2 linked regions of the Anolis sagrei genome follow. The protein of the gene in region 2 interacts with the protein of the main gene of each other region in a pairwise test. Links are inferred from orthologs where the notes say so. Each region holds a gene or a part of one and is shown on either strand. Other genes may lie near its edges. The genes, in order: DOK3 and ANKS1A.

What was found.
Region 1: the proteins of ANKS1A (region 2) and DOK3 interact in a two-hybrid assay, tested with the Homo sapiens proteins (2 studies listed by BioGRID and IntAct). The link is inferred for Anolis sagrei from reciprocal best matches to the Homo sapiens genes ANKS1A and DOK3.

Annotation. Positions count from the first base shown.
Region 1 is NC_090022.1:76,938,948-76,946,413, reverse strand, and holds the start of DOK3 (docking protein 3), read left to right. Parts: upstream 1-4,190; 5' UTR 4,191-4,217; coding exon 4,218-4,274; exon of another isoform or gene 4,275-4,961; intron 4,962-7,466. Other genes in the region: probable ATP-dependent RNA helicase DDX41, read left to right, coding at 907-1,017, 3,046-3,182. UniProt on the Homo sapiens protein: DOK proteins are enzymatically inert adaptor or scaffolding proteins. They provide a docking platform for the assembly of multimolecular signaling complexes. DOK3 is a negative regulator of JNK signaling in B-cells through interaction with INPP5D/SHIP1.
Region 2 is NC_090024.1:189,435,289-189,443,553, reverse strand, and holds the start of ANKS1A (ankyrin repeat and SAM domain-containing protein 1A), read right to left. Parts: upstream 3,254-8,265; 5' UTR 3,108-3,253; coding exon 2,905-3,107; intron 1-2,904. UniProt on the Homo sapiens protein: Regulator of different signaling pathways. Regulates EPHA8 receptor tyrosine kinase signaling to control cell migration and neurite retraction.

The sequences.
Region 1 (7,466 bases), on a different chromosome or scaffold from region 2:
AATCAATGAAAACCTAACCATATCAAAAACAACACCCCCCCCCCATCTTGATCTGCAAAACCTTCTTTAAAAGCCTTGCTGAATTAAAAGGTTTTAGCTGCCGGAAGGAGGAGGGGCATTCTGGCTTTCCTGGGAAGAAAAGAGTTCCAGAGTCAAGAGGCAGCCACCCAAAAGGCTCAATCTCTCATTCTCACCAATTGAGCTTGAGATGGAGGTGAGACTGAGCGAAGGGCCTCTCCTGAGCATCTCAAGGCCCAGACAGGTACATACAGCATGGTGTGATCAGCCAAGTAACATGCACCTGAGCATATAGTTAATCTTTCAATCTGCATTAACTGCTACAGGATCCCTTTTCATGCAGAAAGTAGAATATTTTATGGAACCAGGGTATGGTTTGCCTGGAGACTATTGCCTTCCTTGTGGAGATATTGCCTACTCAAATGCAGGCAATTTTTGCTGCTTTCTATAACTAGGACTAGGGCAGTGGTTCACAATCTTTTTTTGACCAGGGAACACTTGACTAGGGACCACTCTCCAACATTAATACCAAAAGGGTTACGAATCGGTTTTTGGTCAGCTTTAGATTCGGTTTGGTTATTTGGGGTGCTGATTCAGAAAATTGTATTGGATAGACCACATCGGCTCTAGTTTCCGATACAGAACATATGCCATCCAGTAGTCGCGATTTGCTCGCCTACAGAAAACCATATTTAATAAGTGTCAACACTATAAGAAGTTTTTGCAAGACCAGTCACTCTTGTTGCCATGGACCATATTTTAGTTCTTGTGGACCACTGGTGGTCCATGGACCACAGGTTGAGAGCCACTGGTCTAGGCTCTAGAATGGATGTCCACTTTGCTCTCTCTAATATTCTGATTTGTTCCGACTTTCCTGTTTTTATCCAGATGAGTCAGTGCTTATGGACTTGAAGGCACTGCTGCTGGAGGCCAAGCAAAAAGTGCCCCCCGTGTTGCAAGTGCTGCACTGTGGAGATGAATCCATGTTGGATATTAATGGTAAGTAGCTGGTTCTTGGAGGGGAGGGGAGTGATTAAGAGAGTGGGATGGTCTGCGGCAGTAGATGTGCAGTTCCATTGGGAATTGGGAAGGCATCTTAATCCCTAGAAAGTATCCCAGTGACAGTTGACTTGTAAGAAAATCAACAGCCTAATGCTGGCAAACTGGAACAATTGCCATGGTTTGCTGATGTTATACTTTAAGCCAGCGGTGCACAATCAGGGTTTTTGTTTTGCCCTGAGGATTGCCGGTGATTTTGGTAGAGAGAAGCAGGGAGAATGCCCATGCATTCTAGAATACCCATGTGCTGAGAGGAGAAGAATGTAATCCACAAAAAGGGGTGGGGAGGGCACCCGCACATACATATATCTGGAATGAGAGAGGATAAACCCCCTTTATCTGCGTAGTAGCTTCAAGAAGAAACAACTGAAGAAGGACTGATCAAACAGTAATACAAGAGGGAGGCCTAATCTTTTCCATCACCTTTACCAATGTCGACGTCAGGCTCTTTACCAATGTGTTCCAAAGAGCCTGACATCGCCATGACAAGTGCTTAGTGTCTGAATGTTGCATAAACATGGACCTGAATTCTGATTTGACAATATGTATTTATTGAAATAGCACAAGTCAACAAAATCCAACTTTTTGTAATAATCAGAAATGAGAATAGCACAGTTTAAATAATCTTAATGCTGATTTTAAATATGTATTGTTTTCTATCATGGCGACTTTTAAAAATATGACAAATGGCACATTACAGCAGACTACTATAAAGTCTGCCTATTTCACATCATATTTGTGTAACACAAGCCAACAATTATTTTCATCAGATATGATTTACATCATTCTTATAGAGTTTTTCACGTGGCTTATTTATAGAGTTTTTCACTGTGTTTATTTTTTCTCTATAATAGTAATAATAAGGCCACCTTACTGGGATCTGCACGCATTATTGGCCGATACATCACACAGTCCTAGACATTTGGGAAGTGTGACATGTGATCCAATACAACAGCCAGCAGAATGATCTTGTTTGCTGTAGATTTATCTTGTTGTGTTTCAAATAATAATTATTTATTTATTTATTTATTTATATTTTGCTCTATCTCCCTGGAGGGACTCAGGGTAGATCTCAGACATAAAAGGCAAACATTCAATGCCTGAATACAACAACAATACATCCATATTAACAAAATTTAACAACCCAACATATAAACATGAATTATGACTTAACAACTAAAATTAAATACAAAACGCAGCCTGTTATTACAGATATAAGACAAAACATCAAACAGAAGCATCAATTTCCCAGTTCCTTGGGGCAAATAGATTGATAGTTGCTCAATCTATAGTTGAGCTGGTAGGGTGAGCAGGGCACAGATACAGATGATAGCTATTAATCAGAGGTATAATGGTAGTTTTATCAACTCCTCCTCCTCGCAAGCCAGTGAGCTAAGGTATGTCTTCAACTGTTTCTTGAAAGCGGTGGGGGAGGGGGCCATCTTTAACTCCTTAGGAAGGGTGTTCCAGAGGTGTGGGGCAGCCACAGAGAAGGCCGGCCCTTTCTCTCGTTCCCACCAGCTGTGCTTGGGACGGGTGGGACTGAGAGGAGGACCTCCTCTGATGACCGCAGTGTCTGAGTTGGTCTGTAGAGGGAGATGTGGTTTGTCAAATAGTCTGGACCCAAGCTGTTATCATGTGTAGTTTTTGTGATAAGGCTAATCGAATAAGTAATGCATTTACACACTGATATTAATTAGATTTTATTGATATCAGTGTAGAAATGCATTAATTATTCGATTAGCCACATCGTAAAAACTACATGTGGTAGAGGAAAAAAAAAACACTGATCTGAATTCAGCATGAAAAACTCCATAAGAATGATCTAAAATGATATCTGATGAAAAATACTTGTTGGTTTGCGTGATTTTTATTCCACTCTTCAGCCACAAAGCCACTCAGAACAGCTTACTAAATGTTAATTTTTCTTTGGGCTTACAATCTACAATGTATTTCTTAATCTTTCAGGCGAGAGGGGCTGTGCCTTCTGTGGGGGCCTGGGTCATCGTATCACTGACTGCCCCAAGCTGGAAGCCATGCAGACGAAGCAAGTCAGCAACATTGGACGCAAGGATTATCTAGCCCATAGCTCCATGGACTTCTAGATACACTCTGGTTTTTGGCAGGCCACAACCAAGCAAATGAACAGATCTCAGTGCCCTGGGGGCTAATATTTCTCAACTGCCATTTGTAGGTTTGGTTTACTGTACGGCAGAATATTGTCAACTAGAGTAGGAAAGAAGAGATACCAGTGCAGTTGCTCCCTTTTAGGGGCTTTTTGCTTTCTCGTTTTTGTGGTAATTACTGACCTTGCCCTAGGCCAGAAGCAAGCCACAAAGATTGCCCAGTCTCCCAAGCTCCTGTGTATTGCGGATGTACATAGTGGGATGCCTTGTGCTGGTTTCTGACAGTTGCTTGGCCATGGTCCCACAGATTGGGTGTATATAGGTGTGAATGGCTCTTTTCAGACCCAAGTTTCCTTTTAAGATCTTGAGCTGTTCCCTTCTAAATGTGGCGGTCTAGTGCTGCAATCAGCCATTGCATCAGTAACTGTTGTCATGCATCATTGAGCAAGCTCCATATGACCCAGCAGGTGGCCGTGATAGGAAGGAAGAAAGGAACTGAACTGAATATCACCACAAGGAAAAGATCCTTCTTTGGACTTCAGCTCCCAGAACTCCTCTGCCTCTGACTGTGCTGACTGGAGGCAGTCTAAAATAATAGCGTTTCCAAGCTTCCAGCCATTGGGAGTTCTGCTATTGCTTTCATTAACTCTAGTCACAAACTTTTGAGGTTTTACATATCCTTAGTTTGATGTGTTCCTCTTCCTCAACTGCTTCTATCATTGTTGCGTGACTGTTGTAGGCCTGCTCAGAGGTGGCCTCTGCAGCTGTGGGGAGACACTCTGGCGACCCACCAACGTTTGCTGAATCAAAAGTCCCCTGGGACTTGCCTGTGTGTCTCCCGGGACTGTTCTCTTTAGTACAGCTCCCAGTATGCATGCAGGCCCAAAAGAGGAAGTTGGCAGGCAGAGGAAGTCACCAGTGCTATCGTACATACTGACTCATTCCTGTGGCGGCCACAAGAGCTCACAGGCTGAGTGATCTCTTTCTCCTTCCTTACTGTTTGGAGCCTATCCCATGGAGTGCCCAGTGAAAGATGGGATCCTCTATATTCATCATCCAAAATTTGGGAAGGTAAAAATGGGTATTTGCTTAGTGGAAAGAAGGGATTATCCCAGGAAGCCTTCATTGGACAAATTGTTAAGTCCCACTAGATTCAGGGTAACAATGTCCTAGCACTTTCCAGGTCATCTCTAGGGGCTGGGGGGGGGGGGGGGGGCTTTTGTGATGCGGGATGGAACCTGCAACTGCTGGGCTTTTTGAAACCTAATATCTGTTTCCAGTCTTTCTTTTGTGTCACATTACTGAATTGTAGCCAAGTGTTACATTGCCTTTGAATGTAAATTATTCCAGTAATAAAATTAAAGTGACAAGTTGTGTGAATTAACTGGTATGGTGGAAATTAATTTCGCCATAAAGTTTGAACTGGTTCCCTTGTTTATACCTGAAATGGTGTGATCTCTAGGAAAACGGAATTGGCTAAAACCTCAGTGTTAACAACACTGAGCTAGATGGATTTAGCTTTCTGTATTCTTAGGGCAGCTTTTGGGATTCTTAGTTTCCAGGGGTAAACTAAGGTGAAACTTTTATCTTGTAATATATGAAGCTGTTCTTTAGCTTTTAGCTTTCTGTGCTAAGCTTAAATTTGGAGCCTCAATTTGGACAGTCACACAAGTAATAACATGTAAAAAGCTGCCTTGAGTCCCCTCAGGGAAGACGGCAATGTATAAATAAAGTAAATAAATAAAAATTATTCATTGATCTTTGGTTCCTACAATGTACATTGTTGTTACATGGTCATCTATTCATCCGTAAGGTTATGCATCCTCCCTGCTCAAAGTCTTATTAAACCAATGCTAAATCAGTGAAGAAAGTTGAATCATACAATCATAGAGTTGGAAGAGACCTCGTGGGCCATCCCATCCAACCCCCTGCCAAGAAGCAGGAAAATCACATTCAAATGTGATACTTCATTTCTCTCTCATCCTACAACCAAAGTTTTATGATACCAGGGACAGACAGATATGTGTGTAGGAAGCCTTAGTATGGTAAAGGTTTTTTCCCTGACATTAAGTTCAGTTATGTATTACTCGGGGGGGTTGGTGCTCATCTCCATTTCTAACAGTGGGAGCTCACCTCGCTCCCCGGATTCAAACCTGCGACCTTTCAGTCAACCTTAGTATATGTGTGTGCATATATGGCAGGAGCAGTTATTTTGTGTGTACAGTTTTTGGTTGCTTTCTTACAATGGCTCATTTTGTATCTCCTTTCTGACTAACCCAGCCTCCCACTCTTATATTCATATTTCAGTAATGAAGCTACAAGATAGCTATTAAAAGATTTCTTTCCTTGGAAAATTAATGGGTTTTTTTCCATGGGATCCTCTACAAATCAACACAATTGTTTTCCATCTGTTCCAGGTTATTTGCTTTGTTCTGCTTGTTTGTCATTCAGGATTTTGGAAAGCGTTCCCAGACATTAACAAAGTTAGGGAAATGGGATTTCTATTTCTCATAGTGGATTCAAAAAAAGCTTTCACTTTATTTCCTTATGCATTCCAGCCAGGTGGCACTTTCCTATGCAGCATGTGTTTACTCCATATCTTGAAAGTGACAGGCTAGAAATAACAGTGTTATGTAACAGAAGCAATTTTTTTAAAAAGCCCAAAATTCTTGTTTCTTCCAAATGTTACATTTTAAGACAATTTGTAGGTAGTCAGTAAGTTTTCAAGTTTTATGGCATGTTATCAGTCCCAAGGACTTACCTCCACCCCTTCGAAATGGTCAGAAAACAATCAGAAACAAATGGGCACCACAATAACCAAGTTTACAATATCTATAGGCTGCTTTTTAAATTACTATGGTGACCTAAACACACCAGATCTCAATTTATCTTGAGAGCTTAGCAAAGTTAGTACTTGAATGGGAGACCAGTAACAAATAGAATGCTTGAGTTGGAAGAGACCTCGTAGGCCATCCCGTCCAACCCCCTGCCAAGAAGCAGGAATGTTAGGTGCTGTGTGGACTATATTTCAGAGGAAGGAAGAGGCCAAACCACCTCTGAGCATTCTTTGCTTATGAAATTCATGGAATTGCCATAAGTTGATAAGCAATTTACACAACTTGTGGGGTCAGGGATTCGCTTGAATCGTCTCTCTCTCCCACTGTTCAATGGTTGTGCTGTGGTCACCAGCAAATGGAGGCCAAGCGTCAGCCCTCCCAAGGGTGCTGCTGGTGGGGGACCAGAGGCCTAGCTGCTGCCTGCACATGTGAGGAGGAGATGGTGTGATCACTCAGACGAAATGGTTCAGTGGCTTTCTCATTTTCAATCAGCTGCTTTACCCACTTGCAAATTTCACTGACTCCATTATGACCCCCAGAGGCACAGATATTTTAGAATTTGAGGAGTAGTGTTCAAATAGCTGCACTTAGATTATCTCAGCCTGGCAGCAACCCTGAAGAAGAAGCAGGGCTTATTGTCCCCATAATGCCAAAGGTAACCTAGTGAGAGGACACAAACAGAAGATTTTCTGTATTGTCGAAGGCTTTCATGGCTGGAATCACTGGGTTGTTGTAGGTTTTTTGGGCTATATGGCCAAGTTCTAGAAGCATTCTTTCCTGATGTTTCGCATGCATCTATGGCAAGCATCCTCAGAGGTTGTGACCTCACAACCTTTGAGGATGCTTGCCATAGATGTAGGCGAAATGTCAGGAGAGAATGCTTCTAGAACATGGCTATATAGCCCGAAAAGCCTAGAACAGTGGTTCTCAACCTTTGTAATGCCGCGATCCCTTAATCCAGTTCCTCATGTTCTGGTGACCCCCAACCATAACATTATTTTTGTTGCTACTTCATAATTGTAATTTTGCTAGTATTATAAATCTCATTTGCAGGACCAAATTTGGCACAAATACCCAAAACGCCCAAATCTGAATACTGGTGGAGTTTGGGGAAAATAAACCTTGACATTTGGGAGTTGTAGTTGCTGGGATTTATAGATCACCTACAATCATACAGCATTCTGAACTCCACCAATGATGGAATTGAACCAGACTTGGCACACAGAACTCCCATGACTAACAGAAAATATTGGAAGGGTTTGTTGGGCATTGACCTTGAGTTGTAGTTCACCTACATCCAGAGAGCATTGTGGACTCAATAGATAATATTATAATGTAATACAATATAATACTAGTAATAATAATAATTCAATATTATAATTATAATTATATATTTACATTACATGTAATATTACTAATAATATTA
Region 2 (8,265 bases):
ATTTTATATGATCTGTGGATAAAGCCAAGAGTCACTCTGCAGAGAAGGGAAAGCACCAATGCTGTCTTGGGACTAGTCACCGCTGGCCTGGCCGCCACTGCCATTTTCCCACCGAAAAGGTGAGAAGGTGCTGCACCAGGGAGAGTAGAGTGTGTTCTTATTTCTTTTACGTTCTCTAAGGCCCCTTCTACACTGCCATAAAATCCAGTTTCTGATCCCAGATTATGATATTTGAACTGGATGATATGGCAGTGTAGACTCATATAAAAGGTAAAGGTTTCCCATTGACATTAAGTCTAGCTGTGTCCAACTCTGGGGAGTGGTGCTCATCTCCATTTCTAAGCCGAAGAGCTGGTGTTGTCCATAGACGGCTCCATGTGGCCAGCATGACTGCATGGAGTGCTGTTACCTTCCCACTGAAGTGATACCTATTGATCTATGCACATTTGTATGTTTTCAAACTGCTAGATTGGCAGCAGCTGGGGCTAACAGCAGGAGCTCACCTCGCTCCCCAAATTCAAACCACCGACCTTTTAGTCAGCAAGTTCAGCAGCCAAAGTTCTACTAAGAGAAGAGGACAGTTCAGTTTTTAAAAAAGAGTCAAGGTACAGTACTCACACTGACCCATAGAAAAGTCAGTTCAGTTTTTTTTGGGTTGGTATTTTAACTAAGCTCTTCACTTTTGTTATTGCACTCAGAGAAGATTATTGTGTTTTCTATTAGAGTTTAGAGACAGTACCTACACCGACCTGTTGATAAGTCAGCCCAGGTGTTTTTAACTAACATTTCTAGATTTACACATGAGTATATACAGTAATGTGACATACAAACAGTAAAATCCAAGAAAATATTTCTAAGGTTTGACTTAAGAGAAAGAGATACTCACACAATTTAGACAAACAGTGACAAATTAAATAATAATAATAATAATAATAATAATAATAATAATAATAATGTTATTCCTATATCCTGCCACCATCTCCCCGAAGGGACTCGGGGCAGCTTACAGATGCACAAAGTACCTAAAAACAAACATAAAAGTGAACACAATATAAAATACAATAAAATAAAACACAAGCACATATAAAAACATCAATTCAGACTCAACCATAGAGTTGGAAGAGACCTTATAGGCCATCTAGTCGAACCCCATTCTGCCAAGAAGCAGTAAAATTGCATTCAGAGCAGCCCTAATAGATGGCCATCCAGGCTCTATTTAAAAGCCTCCAAAGAAGAAGCCTCCACTCCACTCCACAATCAAGATGCAATCCTCTAACCATTGCGGTAAATAACTTTCACCATGGATGGACTGTAAACATTCGGAATAAAAAAGTACCATGAGGGAAATAAGAATGTTCCCTTTTAAAGAATACATCACTCCAAACCAGCCTGCCTGAAATAATACCTCCTAAAAGAAAGGGGGTGCCTAATAATGCAGTCTGACACCAATTTGACTCAAAGGGAATTGCAGTTTTACAAGGTACTAGCTGTCCCCTGCCACGCGATGCTTTGGCCCAACCTGTGTGCATGTGTTTGTGTGTGTATATGTGTTTACGTGTGTGCGCATATATGTGTGTTTGTGAGTATACATATGGGTGTATAGAAGCGTGCGTATATATTTGTGTATTTATATGTGTACATGCATATTGTGTGTATATGTGTTCTTGTCTATATGCATATTTGTGTGTGTATATATGTATGTGGATATGTATTTATCTGTGCATGTATATATATATATATCTATATATATGCATGTGTATATGTATATGTGTGTATGTATATGTATGTGTCTGTACATGTGTATATTTCTGTGTGTTTGTGCATATATATGTGTGTGTGTGTGTGTGTGTATGAATGTGTGCATATGTATATATATATGAGTATGAGTGTATATGTATATATAGTGTATTTTTGGGGTTTTTTAACTCTGTTCTCCTGGGATGTGTGTGTGTGTGTGTTTACGGGTGATGGACATTCGTTGGACTGTTAGGTGCATTGTGTCCAAATTTTGTCTCAATTCGTCCAGTGGCTTTTGAGTTATGTTGATCCCACAAATGAACATTACATTTTTATTTATATAGATTCTGTCTTCTCAGCCAAAGAGGGTTGTGGGTCAACAAAGAACACATTAGAGGAGTCCATAACATTGAGAAGTGGCAGTTCAAGTGCTGTCAAACTGCTTTAATTCTACAGTGGTAAAATTGGAGTAACAATTTTGGAGTAACAGTGTAATATTTGGAGTAACAGTGGCCTTTTGGAGTGACAGTGGCCATATACAAAATTGGTTGCACAGGGAGTGCATCTAAACTAGGTGTGGGCCAACTTGGGCTTGCCTTCCAAGTGTTTTGGACTCCAACTCCCACCATTCCTAACAGCTTCAGGCCCTTTCCTTTCCCCCTTATGCGGCTGAGGGGGGAAAGGAAAGGGCCTGAGGCTGTTAGGAATGGTGGGAGTTGGAGTCCAAAACACCTGGAAGGAGGACCCAGGTTGGCCCATGCATGAGCTGTCATGACCTACTAATTTGCATATGGTTTCTGATTGGCCAAACTCAACATTCTAACATTCCTAAGAGGCTGAGGGGGAAAGGAAGGGGCCTGAGGCTGTTAGGAATGATGGGAGTTGGAGTCCAAAACACCTGGAAGGAGGGCCCAAGTTGGCCCATGCCTGGTCTACACTGTAGAATGAATGCATGCTATGGGATCCTGGGAGCTGTAGTTCCCTGCCCAAGGTCTTTCTCTCGCCAAACTCCCACCGCCCTGGGCCAGGGCCAGGGCCCACCACTACCCACCTGCCCATTGGTGCAACCGCCTCAAGGTGCTGGCGAGGGACACACCCCCGGGCGCCTGGCACGGCCTCCCTCCCTCCCTCCCTCCGCCTCAGCAGAAAGCCAAGCGCCACACCTACCTGAGAAGATTCGAAAGCGGGTGCCCGCCTCCGCCGCTCCCTCCTCCGCCGCCACCTCCCGAGGAGCCCCCTCCTCCTCCGCCGCCTGAGCCTCCGCCGCCAGAGCCGAAGCCCGAGCTGAGGCGCTTCCCCGAGAGCAGCTTCTCCACGGCGGGCAGGTTCCCCGTGCGGGAGGCCTCCAGCAGCTCCTGCTCCTTCCCCATGGCTCCGGGGAAGCCAGCCAGCCAGTCAGGAGCCCCCCTTAACAACAGCAGCAGCAGCAGCTAAGCCGCCGCCTCCTTTGGGATTCGCCTTCGGCGGCCGCTGCTACTACTGCCGCCGCCGCCGCCTCAGCCCGGCCGGCGCGTCCTTCCGGGGCGGGGCTTAGACAGGCCACGCCCCCTCTCGAGCCGTAAGGCAAGTGGGCGGGGCGGAGGAGGCGGAGGCGCTCTGGTTGGCTGCCTTCCATCTGCTGCTGCTGCTGCCGCCTGAAAGGATGAGGTAAGGCAAGGTGAGGCGGGCAGTGGGTGACTGCATTCCCACCCACCCCACCACCACCTTTCTTCTCACTTTGGGACATGTATATGCGTGTGTGTGTGTCTATATATATATGTGTGTGTGTGTGTATATATACATACACACACATACACACACACTTATATTTGAATGTATGTGTTTGCGTATATATATATACACAATTGCATGCATACGTGTGTGTATATATATGTATCTGTGTGTGTATATATATATACACAAACAGATATATATATGAACACATTTGCATGCATATGTCTGTGTATATGTATCTGCTTGTGTGTGAATATATATGTATACGTGTGTGTGTGTATGTATATGTTTCAAAGTGACAAGAAAGGTTACAGTGGGTGAGAAAGGCTGTCACCCACTGCCTACCTCAACTTGTCTTACCTCATTCTTTCAGGCATCCTTTGCGTGTGTGTATATATATGTGCATACACGTATGCGTGCATACGTGTGTGTATATTTATGTATCTGTTTGTGTTTATGTATATATATACAGACATGCATATATATGTGTGTGTGTATGAACATACTTGCATACATATGTCTGTGTATGTGTATCTGTGTGTGTGTGTATATATATGTATACACACACACACATACATATATGTGTGTATATGTACAAGGTTACAATGAGTGAGAAATGCAGTCATATATGTATATAAAAACACAAATTTGCATGCATATCTATGTATATGTATGTGTATGTATATATATATGCACACATGCCATACATTTGCATGTATATGTGTGTGTTTATGTATATTTATATATACATACATTTGCATACATAGTGTACATATTTCTTGTTACTTTGGAACCTATACACGCACACACATTTCAACATGTGTGTATATGCATATGTATATATCATACATCTACATGTAAATGTGTAAATATTTTTGTCACTTTGGAACCTATACACACACGCATATATATATATATACACATACATACATATACACATTTGCATGCATATGTGTATGTATGTATCTGTGTGAATGTATGCATATGTATATATATACACACACATACATACATTTGCATGTATGTGCATGTATATACACATATTTGCATGCATATGTGTGTGTGTTTATGTATATGTATGTTTATATATACATACATTTGCATGCATTGTGTATATGTTTCTTGTCACTTTGGAACCCACACATGCATATGTGTGTATATTCATGTATATGTATATTCATATTTATATAAATGCATTTGCATGTATATGTGTGTATACATTTCTTGTCACTTTGGAACCTATATATATATTCACACACATATACACACACACACATTTACACACATATGTGTGTATATGTATATTTATATATACATACATTTACATGTATATCTATTTTTGTTACTTTGGAGCCTACACACACACACACATGTATATTTATATACACATACATACATGAAGTGTTCCTTCCAGTGTCATAGAGGGCTTCCTTCAAACAAAAACAAGCATGGCATTTTCTTCAGCTCAAAAAGTACATTTTAATCCTGTGCTTTTAAGAAGGAGGGGACTGAGAACCCTCTAGGTGAAGATCAATCCCAAGGAACTGAATTATTTCAATTAGGCATTTTGAGCATAGTCTCTTTATACGTGATTCATGACATTAAATTTGGAAACACCTAATTTGTGTCATAAAATGTTTGAATGATAAAGCCACCTGCTCCAAGACTCTGTTGCTTCTTCTATCAAAGTCTTCCTTGGAAATCACCTACAGATGAAAGTTGCAGGTATTGGCTCCGCTTAGACAGGATGGGGAGGTGTGGTTGGACACAGATGTCAGCTTTGCAGACCAAATATTGGGGACAGTACTAATAAATAATAGTAATAATAAATAATCATTAAGTAATAAATAAATACATCATGTGCAATTGTGATTTCTCAGTAAATATTCTGTAACAGCCAGAACTTTAAAGCAACAAGTCACAAGCAGTACATATATAGTCAGCCCTTCACATTCACCAAGGTTAAGGGCACAGGACCACTGTTAAAGCAAAGAACTAGTGAATAAAAATTGACTCAGTTGTAAATTTCTGCTATAAACTGACCACATACTCACATTGGAAACTTAAGAGATTCCTAGAGAGATGTTCTTTCTAGAAAATTTAGATCCTCCAGCATGATTGAATGAAGTCAACCATAGAGTCACATTGGAGGAGCTAGACATTCTCAGAGAGGACATTTAAAATCAAAACCATTAATAATGAAATCTTGTTGTTTTTGTTGTTTATTCGTTCATTGGCTTCCGACTCTTTGTGACCTCATAAACCAGCCTATGCCAGAGCTCCCTATCGGCCACTGCCACCCCCAGCTCCTTCAAGGTCAAGGCAGTAACTTCAAGGATACCATCCATCCTACTTGCCCTTGGTCAACCCCTCTTCCTTTTTCCTTCTATTTTCCCAAGCATCATTGTCTTATCTAAGCTTCCCTTTCTTCTCATGACTTGGCCAAAGCACTTAATCTTTGCCTCTAATATCCTTCCCTCCAGGAGCAGTTGGGCATTATTTCCTGGTTTGATCTTCTTGCGGTCCAAAGTAGTCTCTCAATTTTCCTCTAGCACCACAGTTCAAAAGCATCTATCTTCCTTTGCTCAGCCTTCCTTATGGTCCAGCTCTCACATCCATAGGTTAACTGCAAATGTGGAGAGGCAACAGTATAACAAGTTACTGCGGGGAGGACGGGGGGGGGGGGGGGGGATAAAGAAGCCTTAAGTGATGGCTTCAAAGAAATCTGATGAGAGGGATTGCCATTCATTTTTATATAATAACAATCCTAGTTATTTTTCATGACAAAATCATTTTTAGGCATTTGACCAGAATGTTTTTCTTTTTTAAAAAAAGTAACAACATGCCTTAATAAGAGGATGCCTTCCTTGTGCAGTAATCAATAACGTTTTAGAGTTTTGTACAATGAATTTATTTTGTTTATATCAACTTTCCAATATTTGATTTAAGCTTGAAAATATGGATTAAGAAGACAGAAGATATCAATTTCTCAAGAGAGTGATTAACACTAAAGGCTTATACTTCTCTTTTTCCTCATTCCATCTTTTCAGAAGTAATGAGCTCACAGTGGGTGGAGGACTGATTCAAAAACAATCTACAGCAGATGAGATAGCTGATCTTTGAATGTAACGAACTGAAGGCTAAAAATCAACCTATTTTAAGCAGATAACTTTCCCATACAGTGGTGATTAACGTAGTATGATGTGTATGACTTCAGCATTCCCTGTCTCATTTCTCTGATTAAAGGATTGAAACTAAGACTTTGCCTGAGATCTTCATTAGAACGCTGCTGACAACAATCTAATTTGGCACAATTGTCTAGAATGATGAACAAATGTTGCAGTTAACAAAGTTGTCCACCCACTTTTGTCTTTTCTTATCTTTCATCTGTCATTAGGGCATTACTAATGTGTAGCTTCTCCTTCAGTTGTAGGACAATGGGCCTCTTAGCTGGCTTGTAAGTGTGTGATGCGAATTTCACTTCTGTGCATCTATGGTAATAGGATATTGTATCAGGAATGTGTAAATGATGGACAGTGCCCTTGAAGGCAAGAGGATGTAGTAGGTATTTCTATGATGGAGACCAATCACATGCAATTACCTCTCTGAACACCTATGTGAAGACGTGAACCAGATGCCTCATAAATTCAAAAGGGGAAGGAGGTACTGTGTATGATGACAGCATATAGCAGGAGTCTGGTATTCCTTTAGTATGCATGAGATATTAAAAAAATTGAATCCATCCTTTCAAAACACAGGAAATGAGACAAAACATGAATTAATACAGCTGAATATGCTAGGATGATGTGCATGCTAATTTAGTTTGCTCTTCCATTTCTGGTCAAACAGGTTCTGCGGATTTATGAAGTATTACAAGTGTTGCAACATTTATTTGATTAGAAGCAACAGTTGGACAGAAACTAATGTACATGCCGAGCAGTTATACCAACCCTCATTTTAAAAAATGTTACTAGCTTCAATATATCCAACAGGTTCTTCACTAAGTATTTATCCCACCTTGCCCACTGAAATAATAAATGGCATGTCACATTGAGATGGTGTTGGTTCTCCTGGTAGGGAACATACTAAACTCTTTCACCAGTGAGTTGACTTGATGGATAAAGGCATCTGCAGTTAATTTCCCCTCTACTTACTGCAAATGTATTGGAAGTGGTAGCTTGAACTCAAAGGCACAATCAACCTTCAATCATAAGTTCTGATTTGCATTCTGTTGCTGCAATATTTCAATTTTGTATCTGTGTCTGGTGCAAGTTTTATATATGTGTGTGTGTGTTTGATCAAAATTGTTTATTTTATATATTTTATGTTAATATGTTTTTGACTATGTTGTATCCCGCCTCGAGCCATCAAGAGATACAAGTAATAAGAAATTTATAATTTTTATTACTATTATCATTATTACTTGAACTCTGGAATATGTCAATGTGTGATTTCCTGTATTCTTTTCCTATACTATTTACACCATGCTCATACTTGAAAGCATTGCACTAAATCAAATTAGTTCCAACTAGAATAGCCCCATTGAACCAGTGGGACTAACATATGTGTTGATTTATTATCCAGCAGCTGATGTACTGGGGCCCCTTCTACACTGTCATATAATCCAGATTATCGAAGCAGATAAATCACATTATCTGCTTTGAACTGGATTATATGAATCTACACGATCACATAATCCAGTTGAAAGTAGAGAATCTGGACTTTATATGGCAATGTAGAAGGGGCCTGGGAGTACTCTAATTAGTACTAACAATTTAATATAGCCCATTATCTTGTCAGATGTAGGGTGTATCT